2 linked regions of the Alligator mississippiensis genome follow. The protein of the gene in region 1 interacts with the protein of each later gene in a biochemical or structural test. Links are inferred from orthologs where the notes say so. Each region holds a gene or a part of one and is shown on either strand. Other genes may lie near its edges.

The links.
Region 2: the proteins of AREG (region 1) and S100A4 form a complex in vitro, tested with the Homo sapiens proteins (2 studies listed by IntAct, with this or other methods). The link is inferred for Alligator mississippiensis from reciprocal best matches to the Homo sapiens genes AREG and S100A4.

Annotation. Positions count from the first base shown.
Region 1 is NC_081825.1:165,235,814-165,243,118, forward strand, and holds the start of AREG (amphiregulin), read right to left. Parts: upstream 3,013-7,305; 5' UTR 2,953-3,012; coding exon 2,892-2,952; intron 2,633-2,891; coding exon 2,462-2,632; intron 1-2,461.
Region 2 is NC_081838.1:13,253,472-13,260,545, reverse strand, and holds S100A4 (protein S100-A4), read right to left. Parts: upstream 2,312-7,074; 5' UTR 2,205-2,311; intron 1,274-2,204; 5' UTR 1,260-1,273; coding exon 1,119-1,259; intron 786-1,118; coding exon 621-785; 3' UTR 507-620; downstream 1-506. UniProt on the Homo sapiens protein: Calcium-binding protein that plays a role in various cellular processes including motility, angiogenesis, cell differentiation, apoptosis, and autophagy.

The DNA of each region.
Region 1 (7,305 bases):
AGACAACCCACCCACCCATGAGCTTTACAAGTGGGTTTAGAGTCAACTACATCCTTGACAAACCCATTTGATTAGTATCGTAAGACAACTGACAGCCAATTCTAATAGAGGCTAGATCAGTGGTCACCAACCAGTTGATCTTGAACGACTGGTCGATCACAGAGCCTCTAACAATTGATCTCAGTCTGTCAGAGGCTCCACGATTGGGAGCTGCAGGACATGTGGCTGGGCTGAGCCATGCCTCTCCTACCATCAGGGCTGGGATGGGCTGAGTGAGTGGGGTTAGAGCCTGGACAGCTTGTTGGGGGGGGGGGGGGGGGGGGGGAAATGCAGTATATCCTGGGGTGCCAAGAAGTGATCTTTACCATAAGAAGGTTGGAGACCACTGGGCTAGATCAACTCCCTCAGGCAGAGATTAGAGTTGTGTATTTGGAAGATTTTCACCAGCCAGCCCTATACTTTATCTTGAGATCTTAAGCCACATTGGTCACATATTAAATTACTAAATAAATAAATCATCTTTTGCCAGGAGAAGTCAGACTGAAATTGTACAACTTGTGTTTGTAGGTGAGCTGAATGTACCAGCTACACTCAGGTTTCCTTTCACTAAAAGAAAGCTCTGAACTTAGTCACTGTATAGCTGACACCCCCTTTCCAGTTAACTTTAGTCAAAGTAGGCCTATTGTCTTGAACAAATATAGAGCCAACTTTCATGCCTTAGCTTAAGAAGCTGCCTGTTAGACAACTCCTCCTTGATTTTAAGAACAAACTACAATCTTTGTGGGCTATTTTTTTTTTTCCCCAACATAAGTATCCAAGCTCCAAGTCCTTTTAAAGCTGTTGAAGGCTCTGAAGATACATCTTTAAGGAAAACCCATGCCAGGCATCCATACACTCAAGCTTGCTATACTGTCTCTGGATTAACCAGAAAGTAGTATGTGGCCCACTCAAAATACTGCGTCACAAACGAGTGACAGTGGTCATTAGATTGCCCAGAGTACCATAGATGTTGCTACACCACTTCTGTTTTAGAAGCCATCCTAATATAAGCAGCTTGAGGGCACTACATCTAGACACAGCAGCATTAACATGGAGACACGGCCCAAGTGTAATCTACAGCTGAACCACAGAAGTCTAGGATTGTAAATTTACTGGCTCAGTGCCAAAAGACAGGAGTCAATCTACAAGACTGCTTGGTAACAGCCCTGTTGCGTGCAAGATTGGCTCTGTGACCAACCAGCATGCCAAAAGCAATAAGCTTAAGCTTGCAACTACTGTATTTCACAATTGGGGTGGGGGGGCATGCAAAAGTTAAGCTGCCTTTTACCAGATCGAAGTTCCGCTCAAAATGTTGCAAGAATCAGCCTCTCAAGAAGCAGCTCAGAGCTCGTCTCCTAAAGTCAAGTATCATCTTCCTACTAACTTCAGATGACAACCAGGTAATACCTTAATATAGTGGCCCTCAAACTACTGCATGTTAATATACACACAGGAACAACCAGGTGCAACATATCTTCCTTGTAGGAAATGAAACCAATGGGTTACAGATTTTGTCACTAACCCTCCAAGTTTCAGTGCTCCCTCCATTTCTTGTGGAGCCTCCCATTCATACAATGACTTGAGCCAGACTTGAACCAGTAGAACTTACACTACTAGCCAGTTGAGCCATTGAGACCCCTTAAAAAATTGTTGTTTCCTGGCTAACAAAGTCTACAGAGACAAGACAGAGGTTTCAGTCTCTAAAAGATGTTAGCTAGCAACGTGTCTAGTTCACATTTCAGAAAGTTTTGGTGTGGACAAAGCAAGTTTTGATTTAATGTTCACCCAAAGCAGCTAGCATGCGAGAATACCAGCTTAAATCCCTAGTATACATAGGACATATGGCCAACACTTCTTAAAACCCATCTTTTATTTTAGTCCAGACATACACAGAAGCATTGCACAATAATCAAACTGAAAAATTGCATGCCACTCAATAGGTAATCCTCCCCCTGCCAAACAGAGAGAAAGAACTTGCAGTAATTTCTATCAAGAATTACAGGTTTAACAGCTGAAACAAACTTTTCAAGAACACACCACACCATAGCTCCCCAAATGAGAATGGGAATTGCGGAATACTTAAAAAATCTGGAGGCTTCATTCAGTCCAGCCTTGAAGAAGCTATGCCAAAGGAGATTGACTAGGACGTTTTGAACTGTAGGAGAACACCAAGACATTTCAACTCTCTTCAGCCCCTAGACACATTTAGGAAACCAAAGCAACATAGCGTTATGCTACAAGGTTCACCAAAAGGCATGTTCAGGCGTCACGGAAGCACAGCCACTCTCCTACATACCAGCCGGTTGCCAGCTAGTCCCGAGCACGTGCAGCCACAACCTCCCTACAAGTTCTCAGAACCACTCCTGTAGCTCAACGCTAGGGTTGGGACTCAGGGAAAAGCCCGAGTTTCACCGCAGCTCACCTCTGATGGACTCATCTACCATGTACAAGGGCAGGGGCGCATCATCTTCTTCCTTGTAGTCCGCATCCTCATACTCCACTCCCAGAGACATCTCATGCCCAGGGCTGCTGTGATTCCCTGCTAGCGGGGCACCCGTCACGCTGGGTCCCAAGCCGGTGACATGCTGGCATGCTGTGAGGCAGAAGCCAGGAGAGAGACACAAAAGCTGTAGTCACCTGCGTGGGGCAGGATGCCATTCTCCCCACTCAGCGCCCGGAGCCAGCCGAGGCGTGGACCTTCGTGACAGCTCTCGCACATCCTCGCCAGTGACTCACAGGCAAAGCAGCTCTGGGCTCCCGGGCCAGCCCAGGCACAAAAGGGGCACGGGCCTCCCTCTGCGCAGCCTGGCCCGGAGGGGGCTCTGGCCCGACCTGCTGCACACCCCGCTCACCTGAGCGCCCGGCTAGCGCGCACAGCAGCAGGAGCAGCGGCGGCGGCAGCGCGAGACGCATCTGGGCGGGCGGGACAGGGCAAGGCTGGCGCCTGCACCCCTCACTCAGTCAGTCCACAGGCCGTAGGGCGCCTCCCGCGCCCGCCCTTTATAGAAGCGGCGGCGGCGACGTAGCTCTGCGTCAGCAGGTGGGGGCGGGGCCGAGCCGCACCTGCCCCCGCGCCGGGGAATGCGTGGCCCGGAGCTGAGGGAGTAGCTCGCACCCCCTCCCTCCCTGGCCCCCGGCCGCGGTGGTGTCCACGGCCCCGCAGCCTCAGCGTGTCCCTCAGGCACTGCCCGCGTGTCTTTGCGTACGCTGCAAAGCGGGTGCGCGGGTCCCGGCGGGTCCCCCCCGTCCCAGCCCTTCATCAGGGGGGTCACCCTGGACCGGCCCGAGTAACTTAGCCGCCGGGGTCGGACCCGAGGTGGGTCGCGACAACGTGTGGGAGGGCGGAAAACACACTTTACAAGCCGGTTTTCCTGTTAAAGGGGGGAAAAAAAACTATGGTGATCTGTGGCTTTGCCCTCTTGAGGGCTCAGTTCAAGCGTTGGTATTGTGTTTTCTGTAACCTAGTTGCGTTTCCCTCCACACCCCCATCCCTCTTATGTTACTCCCTCTGTATTTCCCTTCTGGCTTTGTCATCTTTTTGCTTCATGACTCTTGCCATGTACTAATACAGTGCAATCTGTTGTATCTTCTGTAACCTGGCTGCGTGTCCCACCCCCATCCCTCTGACATTAGTCCCTCACTCAGGCACTCCGTCTTTCCCTTCTGGCTTTTTGTCATCTTTCCGGTTTACAATTCTGAACATCTACTAATAAAATTCAGTCTGTTCCTGGGCAGGTTGTTGCTTCTCGGCCTCCTGAAGGCTCAGATCAAGTGTGGTGGCTTCTTAACCTGGCAGGGGAAATGCCATGTCTCTGTGTCCAAGAAGGCAGTTTTCCTGAACCGCTCCACGGGAGAACTGCACTTCTGGTGCGGTTCAGGACCCGCCGAGGTGCGGTGGCTTTAAGCCCAGTTTATGGAAATGGGAGTCTCCTCCCTTGCTTGCTCCAAGGGCCTTATGGCCGAGGGCAAGCAAAACTCAGGGGCAGCCAAACCTCAAGCCTCTGGGCTTGGGTCTGCAAGTAGGATGCCTGCCAAAGGTTTTGGAAACATGTGAAGTCCCAGGTGCAGGTGGAGGATGTTTGTCAGTTGTAGGGCCACTTATGGTTCTGGACTCTTGAATTTGGAATTAGTTTTGGCTAATTTGGCCTTGGATACAAATTTAAATAAATAAAAAATCTGTGGCTTTTCCCTTGCAAGCTGGCAGAGTTCCCTCTGCTTGTGGCCCCCCATGCCCCCTCCGCCGGGGTGGGGGGCAGCGGGTCAGGAGTGAGGGGCACTGGGGCAGGGACTAGGGTGGCCATCATAGAGGACCATCCGGTTGCCCTCTATTCTCTATTGATATGAAACCAGACGGCTTTATGTCCTCTAGTTTTCTCTTGAAGAGAAAACCAGAGGACATAAAAGCATTGGGTTTTGTATCAATAGAGGACAGAGTAGCAGAAAACCAGAATGTCCTCTATGATGGCCACCCTGGGAGGGACTGGCCATCCCTGCTTATAAATGGGTCCTGGTACAAAAGGGGCTGAGAACCCCTGCTCTGGAGGCTGAGGGGCTCTGACTTAGTCTGTTGGGGAAGGGGCGGGTTGTTGTAGCCTCAGCACAGACCTGGGTCCAGGGCCGGCCCACAGTTTTTTGGGGCCCCCTGCAAGATATGATATAGTTTTGGGGTCCCCTGAGCCATCAAAAAATCAAAATTGCAGTTAATTGCAGTATAAACTCACTGAAATAAAATAGGGCCAGGCTGCACTCATGTGGGCTGTACTGTGGGGGGCACGGGGTGGGGGCAGCATGTACTGGGGATGCCTGGGTTCCCTCCCTGGGCAGGAGTGGAGCCAGGAACTCCTGCTCCATTTGGCCAGGAAGGGGCTCCCTGCCTGCATTGAGCTCTTTAAACATGGCACAGGCGGCAGGGGGAAAATGGCACAGCCCCTTGGCAGCAGGGCCCCCTGTGGCTGCAGGATAGGGTGGGCTGGCCCCCTGCCTGGGTCCTGCAAGTGCAGCTCTTGGGGGTGGTGAGGTGACTGCTCAAGTGTATTGCCAGGCACAGGTGTAACGATTGGTAAGCACTAGATTTGGGGTAGGCAGGACAGGGGTAGGGGTGGTTGTAACACAGGTAGGAATCTCCCTAGAAGCTTTTAATCCAGCCTTAATCCAAGCAGAGCCAGTGGCACATACTTCAGCCCAGACTAACCACAGGCCTACTTCCCGCAAAGGCTCATGCTATGATTACTTGCACATACTGAAGCCCACAGCACCATGTTACTGTTAGTCATATTGGTTCAACTGCAGCCGTTGTGGAGCTTTTCCCATACTGGTGTCACACCTCCATCTGGCTGCATGGGGCACACCTCCATCTGGCTGCACATGCCTACCAGGGCAGTCTCTTAAATAGGACCTGGGTTTTCCTCATCCATCCATCCAGTATGTAGGACAGCAGAATCCTGATCAGAAATTGGGGACTATTGGTTCTACTGTAAGACCAAGACACCAATAGCTAATTATAGCTCATTTAATGTGTCATTCTTATCAGGGAACTTTATTGAGGAGAGCACGTGAAAAATTCTCCTGTGTCAAAAAGTAACATTGCAATAACACAGCAGTACTAAAATATGAGGGTAATTAAAGTGCTTGTAAAAAAACCAACAAACAAACAAAAAAAACCCCATTACAGTTCTAGCCAAACTGTAGGAAGAGAGCATTCCCTTGTGGTTTTACATGAGGGTTTCCAGCTGTGCATAGCTGTACAAGGCCTTAATTGCCCTGTGTTTTAAATACCCTGTCATTGTTTAAAAAACAAAAATTGTGAAATGTTGGTCCATGATTTTTCCTGCATGGCACCACAACGCACCAATGCTAGTAACTCTGTGAGGTTTTCTTGTAGAAAACAAAAAAATATTAGAATATTTAAAAGTTGGTTAGACAGTGATAAATCTGTATCAGTCTAGGACACCTGGGTTCAAATCCCTGCTCTGTCCCAGCCTTCCTATGTCAAAGCTGTGTCAACTTTAGTCAAGTCACTCAGCCTCTCTGGATGTCAGGACTGCATTGGTACAGTGAGCATAACAGCACTTACATCACAGCTGTACAGACAAATACAGTGGAGATTATCATATGTCCAGATGCTGGAGTAATTGGGACTGCATTCACACCTAAGATAGAGAGATACCTACACTACTGTAGAATCATTGCTTCCAGCTGTTTGCCTTGCTGGCAGCAGATGGTGTTACAGCCATGTTGTATTACAATGTTGAGACAGGCACAGGTGATTCCTTTGCCTGTGAAGTTGTGCAAATGTAGCAGGGCAAACTTGGCACCTGGTCCCCAAGAGCTTCTGTCCTTATGCTGCTGTCACATTTGCAGAGCCTGGTTGTCTTACCTGTGGTGGGCACCTGGGGGGCAGCCACTGTTGGTTGATGGAGAGAGGTCAGACGTTCCTCCTTACTCCCTTGCTGGGTGAATAACAAAGGAGAATTCTTCCCCAGGCCCCATCCTGCAATTCCTCCCATCTGTGCTTAATCTTGCCCATGTGTGTAATCCCACTGAAATCAAACTATGTATGTTTGTAAGTGTTCTCAGGATTGTAGCCTTAAGGGATGCTACTGCAGCCTTCTCCAGGTGCCTGGCACTCAGAGTTAAGCCTTAGTACTAGCTGTGCCCAAGTGAGAGCAGCCACACTGTAAAGCCATACCTGAGAGAGAGCCTTACTGACATGGCATTCAGCCATGTATGCTGCTAGGACTTCTGAAGGCATACCCCATAGGCATACGTAGCTGCAGTGAGCTAAGGTGCTCCGTACACTTTGACTCTTACCCAGTTTCTGTCCTGGGCAGTGGGTGAAGGGTAATGTGGAAAGGCACTGGAGGGCAATCAGCCCTCACATGGTTTAGCTTGCATTCTCATTGCAAAGTGTTCAGGTTACCAGCCTGAGCATAAGTAGCATCTATGTTTGTAGCCTATTCCTAAGAACAGGCCATCCAACCTGAATGGAAAGCAGTGGGTCAGAGGAGTTAATATCTGGACAGGAGCCATCTAAAGGACCATGCCTCAGCCAGAGATAAGTCCAGAAAACATATGCACACCTCTGCATGATACTTCCATTTGCACCTTCCATAACCAGCCCCACATGTGATTTAATCAGACTAGGAGATGTTTTGTACCATGGGTTGGACTGAGACACTTTATCCTAGCTCTGCACAGGGGATGGACTCCAAATCATGTTTCCCTCAAGGGCAGCACCAGGGTACATTGAGCCTGGTGTGGGGGACA
Region 2 (7,074 bases), on another chromosome or scaffold:
CTGTCCAAGCCCCGTCATGCAGCAGCCATGGCTCCATCCGGTGGAGTTGGACCACAGGCACTGCTGCCTCTCTGTGGGTGACCCCAGGGCCACACAGCCAGCTGCCCTGGAGTGCTGTGGCCCAGCCCCTCACCCTGGTCTTGGGACCCCATGGTCACTGAGCTGTGGGGAAGGGGCTGCAGCAGGCTCTGGCTCTGCAATAAACTCACCCAGGTAGGAAAGGACTTATGGGGTCACCTGCCAAGATGGATCCCCCTGGAGCGGGGTAGAGCCTAGGAGGAGCTCCCCTTGCTGCCAGCAGTTGAGGGCTGCTATCCTGGAGTTGGAAGGAGCAAAGCCCCCGACCCCGGTTTGCTGCACTTTTCCCTGCGCCTGGATCAGACCCCTGCTCTTTTGGGCAAAGCTGGCAGAAACCCTTGAAGACCCCACAGGGAACTTTACCCACCCCTACGACTCCATGTGCAACACAGTCCGGGAACCAGTTACACAGTCGAAGACACACACGGGACTCTGGAAGTGACTTTATTGCACGGGCTCTCAACGGGCTCTCGAGGCAGTGGTGAGCAATGCAGCGGGGGTCCCAGGAGGAACCCACGCAGGACAGCCCAGGCCCAGGGCAATCACTTCCTCCGTGGCATCTTGTCGGGGCAGCCCTCAAAGATGTCGTTGCACATCATGGCAGCGCAGGCCAGGAAGGTGGCATACTCCTGGAAGTCCACCTCGTTGTCGCGGTTGCTATCCAGGTTGCTCAGCATCTTCTGGAAGCTGGCATCATCCGTCTTTTTCTGCCAGGGGGAAGGAGGTGGGAGCAGGGTTCAGCCTAGCCCAGAAATGCTCTGCACCCCTCCTGCAGCTCAGGGCATCACCCACCTCCCTCCACCCCATCATCCGCGTGTACCCGCCCCAGGCAGAACTGTTTGGGACAGGACGTGGGCACCTCCTGCCCCCCTCCCCTCTTCAAAGGGGCAGAATAGATTTATCTGAGAATAAATCCCAGAGCAGGAACCGAGCCCCCTCTGCAAGAGGCCACTGGACCCCTTCACAGGGGCAGACAGGTCTCCTGTGCCCAGGTCCCAGCACCGCCCCCAGTGCCTGGGGGTCCCAGTCCCCCCACTCACACTGATGAAGCTGGGCAGCTCCTTCAGCATCAGGTCCTTGAGCTCTGCCTTGTTGAGCTTCAACTTGTCGCCTTCCTTCCCCGAGTACTTGTGGAAGGTGGAGACAATCACTTGCAGTGCCTGCTCCAAGGGATGCGCCATGGCAGATCTGGGAGCTAGAGACGTGGGGAGGGGGCTGCTTAGAGCACGGCCCGAAGCACAGAGCTCCCTACCAAGCTGGGACCAGCTGGCCCAGGGGTTAAGGGTGCAGGGACGGAAGCAGATTTGAATATATTTGAGTGCCTTTGCATAGGAGGAGCACAGGCAAGGTACCCGGGTCCTGTCTTTTGTGGTGTGCCCAGCTCTCCCAGCATCCCCACCAAGCCCTCCGGTCACAGACCCTTCACCCAGGCCCATGGGACAAGTGCTAAGTGCCTATAGCCTGGCCCTGCCCAGCATCCCCAGAGGGAGGGCCCCCACCTGCTAATTGCACCAAGGCAGGAGGATGTGTCACTGTTTCCTGCCTGCTCCCAAGCCTCCCCTGAGGTCATGTTGGCAGCGCAGATGGGCGTTGGTAGCCAGCGCCAACTGCAATGACAGCCCAGGGGCTGGAGGCTTAGCAGGAGCACAGCTGGAGGGACCGAGCGATGACAGCCTGAGGGCTGGGGGCTTAGCAGAAGAATGGCTGTGGGGGGCAAGCAATGACAGCCTGGGGGCTGGGAGCATAATGGGAATACAACGGGGGGCACAAGTACTGCAGACCCCAGCCAGGCTGCTGCATAAGCCCAGACTCCAGAGGAGGCATCACCCTTTGCGTGGGTCCGGGGAGGCCCTTTGCAGCCCTGGCTGTGTCAGAGCAGAGCCCCAGACCTCCACTAACCCCAAAACTGCCTGGATGCAGAGGGCAGCTCTGAGACCCAGGCTAAGTGGGGAACCCGTGGCCGCCTTCACCACCCCAGCTCAGGATCATGTACATCTGCTGCAGCAAAGGCAGCGCCCCCTTCTCCCAAACCGCAGGGCTGGCTGTGTCCCCAGCCCCCCATGCACAAACCACCAGCAGCTGGAGCAGCTGAAGCCCCAAGCATCTCAATAAAACAAACCACTTACCAAGGCAGCGAGGCAGGAAATAGGCTGACAGATGCTGGCCGGACAAGCGGCTGAGCAAAAACCCTCAGTATTTATAGTCAGCGTACATGACTGGGGACACCCCCTCCGGCTCTGGAAATTAAAGCAAGGCCAATGAGCGGAGGAGCACCCAAACGTCCTGGCAGGCATTGGCTACAAGGGGCTGGGGAGCCCTGGGCCCCATGTCCTGCCCTCCCCTCAGGCCCAATTTTGGGCAGAGAAGAATGGGCGGATGCAGCCACTGCCCCGGTGGGTGCAAGGGGCACCGACTGGCACCGGGCCATGGGGTGTATCTGCAGGGGAGGGAGTGGAACAGCCTGGACAAGAGCAGGAAACAAAATGAGGGACGAACTGGGGGAGTCAGAGCTTAATGAGTCTTTGCAATCCCTGGTGGGAGAGAGGAGGGGGGGGCGGGGGGGATGAGCATGGGGTGGATGAACACATGCATGGACATGGGACAAGGCAGCGTGGGATGGCTGCTCAGGTGAGTCAATGGCCATCATCTGAGATCTCCCTTACCCCTCTCTGTCTAAAGCACCCCAAATTGGATAAACCTGCCATGTGTCCAGGTGGCTCCAGTCCACAGCCATACTCCTGCCTGCCCCCCCCCCTCCCCCCACACTTTGCCCCGAGATGCTTCAGGGAGAAAGGGCCCAGGAAGCATGAAACAGTGACAAGGGCTTCATCAAGCCAAGGCATCTATTCACGCGTCACCTACCCTGGTCACGCAGGGGAGGAAACCCTAGGACAGCTCAATCACAGCTGCATAGGAAATGCCTGCCCTACCCGGCACGGCCTGATCATGGACACGCATTTGCTCCGAGGGTTAATCCCAGCGAGCATGAAGCGATGGGAAGCATCCGCAGCTCCATGACGCACAGTGCCCGAGCTGCTGTTTCGGAGTGTTTTTCATTTTTTTTAACTGAAATTGGAGGCAGCTGCCTTGCGTTTCATAATGGTGGGAGGGCGGTGCCGCTGAGTTGTGTAACCAGATGCTGGTCTGGCCTGGGCTGTATTCTTCCACTAAGTGTCATAGGCCCCACGGTCCCGGTCACGTGCCAGAGCATCCCCCTGAGCTGGGTGGACCAGGCCAGTGGGGTTGGAGCAGGGGATACAGGCTTGATGCCCTGCCAAAGCCTGGGAAGGTCACATCCCTGCAGCAGGGAAGTCCCCACAGCAAGCCACACGGGGACCACCAAGTCTTGCCCACCCAGGCTTGTCTTTGCCATTAGCCCCATAGGCAGGTCTCTGGGGTCAAACCCTGATGGTGTCCACACTGGCCCAGCATGACCTTAATCTGCATCCTCCTTCCTGCAATGTGGCCAGCTCAGAGCATAGGTGCAAGCCAGGATGAGGCGAAGTTGCAATGCTTGGAGATGCCCCGGGTGGATCAGAGGCCACAGGGCAAACTGCAGGCATGAAAGCAAAGCTGCTGCAACCTGGAGGCATCTCCCAGCACCCCAGCATCCTTGGAGCCTGGGTCAAGGCAAACTCCAGAGCCAGGGGCAGGCAGGATCTCCCAGGAGACAGGGCTGGGAATGGGCCCAGAGCTGTACCAGCTCTGCAAGGCTAGCAGGGAAAGAGTTGGCTCCAGGCCTGATTACCCTGGGGGCACAGGGCTTGGTTGGCATGGAACTGGCTGCTAAGCTAGCCCAGAGCCAGGACCCTGGACGGCTCAGCCCCTCTGCCACAGGGGCCATGCGAAGCCTCTGCTGCCAGGGAGAGAAGAGGCATGGACCCTACATGAGATGGGAGGCCCTCAGCTCTCCTGGGCTGCAAGCCCAGACATGGGTGCCCGATGCTGGAGCATCTTGGGGAGTGCCAGGCTCTGCACCCCGACCCCCCTGCTCCAGGAAGGAGAGTGCAGAGCGCTGTCAGCTGCCACCTCCCTGAGAAAGGACCCAGGACCCACAGGGCAGGGCAGCCCAGATGCCCTCCCCCAGTCACACCTGGGCCTGGCTTGGTCTTAATGGGTTCAACCTGTGCAGAGGAGGTGGCAAGCCCTGCTGCCTCCTGGAACAGCCCCACTCAGCCCCATGCAGGCTGTGACTCACATGGAGCTGAGGAGGGAGGTTTCCGGGTAGGGGAAAGTCCTGCTGCTTCCGGCTGGAGGAGAGTGGGAGGAGGGCGTGGAGCTGGGCCAAGGCCTTGTGGGTACAGGGATCTGAGCTGCAAGGGCTCGGGGGTTGCTCAGAAGCAAAAGGGACTAGACCCCTGACTCCCTGGGAGGGGTCTGGGAGTGCATGGCTGCAAAGGCAGTGCCCAGCACCATGCCGTGGGGCTGGGGTCAGTGTCACCACCTCCCAGCTGGAGACCCCAGGTCCTGGCAGCAGTGCCGGTGGGCAGTGGGGATCCCGCTGCATGCCAGCTCGAGGGTCCCCATCCCCCAGCTCACCCATGCAGGGGTCCTCCCAGCTCACACCCTGCACAGCTGGAGGGGGCTCTGCACAGCTGGCTCCAGCCTGGCAGGTCCCAACACCCCCCAGCCAGCTGCAAACCCTGACATGCAATTAAATAAAAGTTGAGTGGGGAGGATGCCGCCATGCAGAAGGGAAGCGAGCGGCAGGGGGGAGGGGGAGCAAGCAGCTGCTTCTCACTGCACAGCCAGGCCTGTGGAGACCTGAATGTCGGTGCAAGTGCAGCCCCATTCTGCCTGGGGACCATGGCTCAGCCCACCCTGCTCCCCAGCTCACAAGGCCCCAGGAACAAGCCTGGTCTCATCCAGCTGACAGCGCCGAGGATGCGCCTTCCCGCATCCTGCCAGAGTGGGGGGGCAGCAGTGGCAGGTCGCAGCACAATGGGGCAGGGGTCTGAGCCCCTGGGGCTGCCCAAAGGGAGTCTCTCCAAGCCCCTAGTAGCTCCAGGGGTCCTCATTGCTGGCCCCTTCTCGAACTGCCCAGAGCTGGGCCATGGCCACCTGCCCGTGTCAGGGTACCTGGGGGCATGGAGGTGGGGGGTACTGGTGCAGAGCATGGGGTGGGAGAACAGCCCATGAGCCCAGCACCAGGGGCTCAGAGCCACTGCGGTCATGGCAGGACAGCACGGACAGCTCTCGGCTAGGCCTGGGAACCAGGGCACCCGGTAGCAATATGCACCACATTCACCCGCTCCTGAACCCGAGTCCACATTGGCAGCTCTCCATCCTCACTGCAGGCCCTACCCACCCTTCCCCAGGATCTGAGCACCCAGGACCAGTTTGGCAGGCAGGGCCGCGCAGCTCTGAACCTGGGGGGAGGCACAATTGTTTGCTCCTGTCCTGTTTGCACTGGCAGGGACCGGATCGGCTGTTTGATTAGGGGGCAGAGCCCAGATGGCTCCCAGGGCTGAGGGATGAACCCAGGTTGCTGGGTCAGGAGAATGATCAGAGCTGGTGCAAGGGTGCCCCAGGCCCCAAGTGGGCTGGGGGGATTGCTCCTGCCCTGCAGCAACCCCAGAGATGGGATGGGAGCAGGTTTGCATCTCCATTTCCCAGGGAAGCCGTGGGATTTGCCCACCGCTCTGCCACAAGCAGGCTTAAGTTGCCAGTGCCCCCCCATCCCCAGGCCCAAGGGACCCCCTGCCCTGACCAAGCCCCCCTGCACCAGGGGAATCCAGCAGTTTGCAATGAGATCCAGGCCTGGACCCTGAGGTTCACCCCTAGCCCTGAGCCCTTCTGGGATGGGGGCGATGGATGGAGGATGCCCAGCTGCAAATGCCAAGGACCAGGCTGCAGGAGAGGCAGGACACCTTTCCACCCCCCTGCAGCCCTTTGCAAGCCAGGAGGGAGCTGAGAGCAGCAGTGCAATGCTGTTGGGGGGCTGGGGGCAGTTCCCCATCCCCAGGGGCTTCCAGCCACCAGGGTCAGTGCACAAATGGCAGCACCATCAGCGCATGCAGCGAGCAGCCAGGGGCAGGTCTCAGGGGTTCTCCCATCACAGCCCCATCCAGAGCTGTCCTATCCCTATCCCCATCCCCTGTCCCAGGTGAAACCATTCCCACAGCAGCAGGCAGGTGCGCCTGGGCGTGGGACACCACAGGGACATGTCTGCAGGGCAGATTTATCCATCCAGCTTGATGCTGTGGCAGGTGCTGCGAGCATCAGGCCTGGCCCACAGGCAATCAGAGCACAGGCAATCAGACCCGGACCCTGTAGAGGCAGCCCCAGCTGGGCAAGAAGGGGGGCTGAGAAGGGTTGGAGCAATGCAAGCAGGGGGAGGAGAGGGGTGCTGGGGCATCCTGGAAAGTAGCAGAGGGGCAGGGGTCAGTGGTCCTGCATCAGGAGCAGCCGGAGAGGCCCCAGGGTCTCGGAGACATGAAAGGGGAGGATGCTCAGCCTTGAAAATCGAGGCCCCTGTGAGCTCAGAGCCCCCAGCCCCATATGGGCAGGCAAGAGCGGGGGCCCAGACCACACGGTAAGCAATGCACTCACACATTTGTTCATAAGCAGTGCCCTTGCACATCCCCTGAGCACATCAAGCGCGCTCACAGGCTCACCATGCACAGGTAGCACACTGGCACACTCACCATGTACAGACAAGGCACTCGCACACTCACCGGGGACATGCAAGACACACACCCCTCCCCACCATCCAGCACCCGGCCCAAAGCCACTTCCTGCTTCCCAGCTTCTCTGGCATCAGCCCGTGGCACGGTGCCCAGAGCAGAGCGGGGCACGAGAGCCTGACTCATCCCTTGGCTCTGGGCTGCAGAGGGAGGTCCACCGACAAGCAGGGAGTGGCCGGGCTGGGGCAGGGTCTCCCTCCCTCCAGATGTGCCCTGCCCAAGGCTGGAACCTGCCAGCCATGCCCTGCTCCCAGGCCGCACCCGGACACCTGGGTCCCACAGGGAGTTTGCAAGGACCAAGCCCCGTACA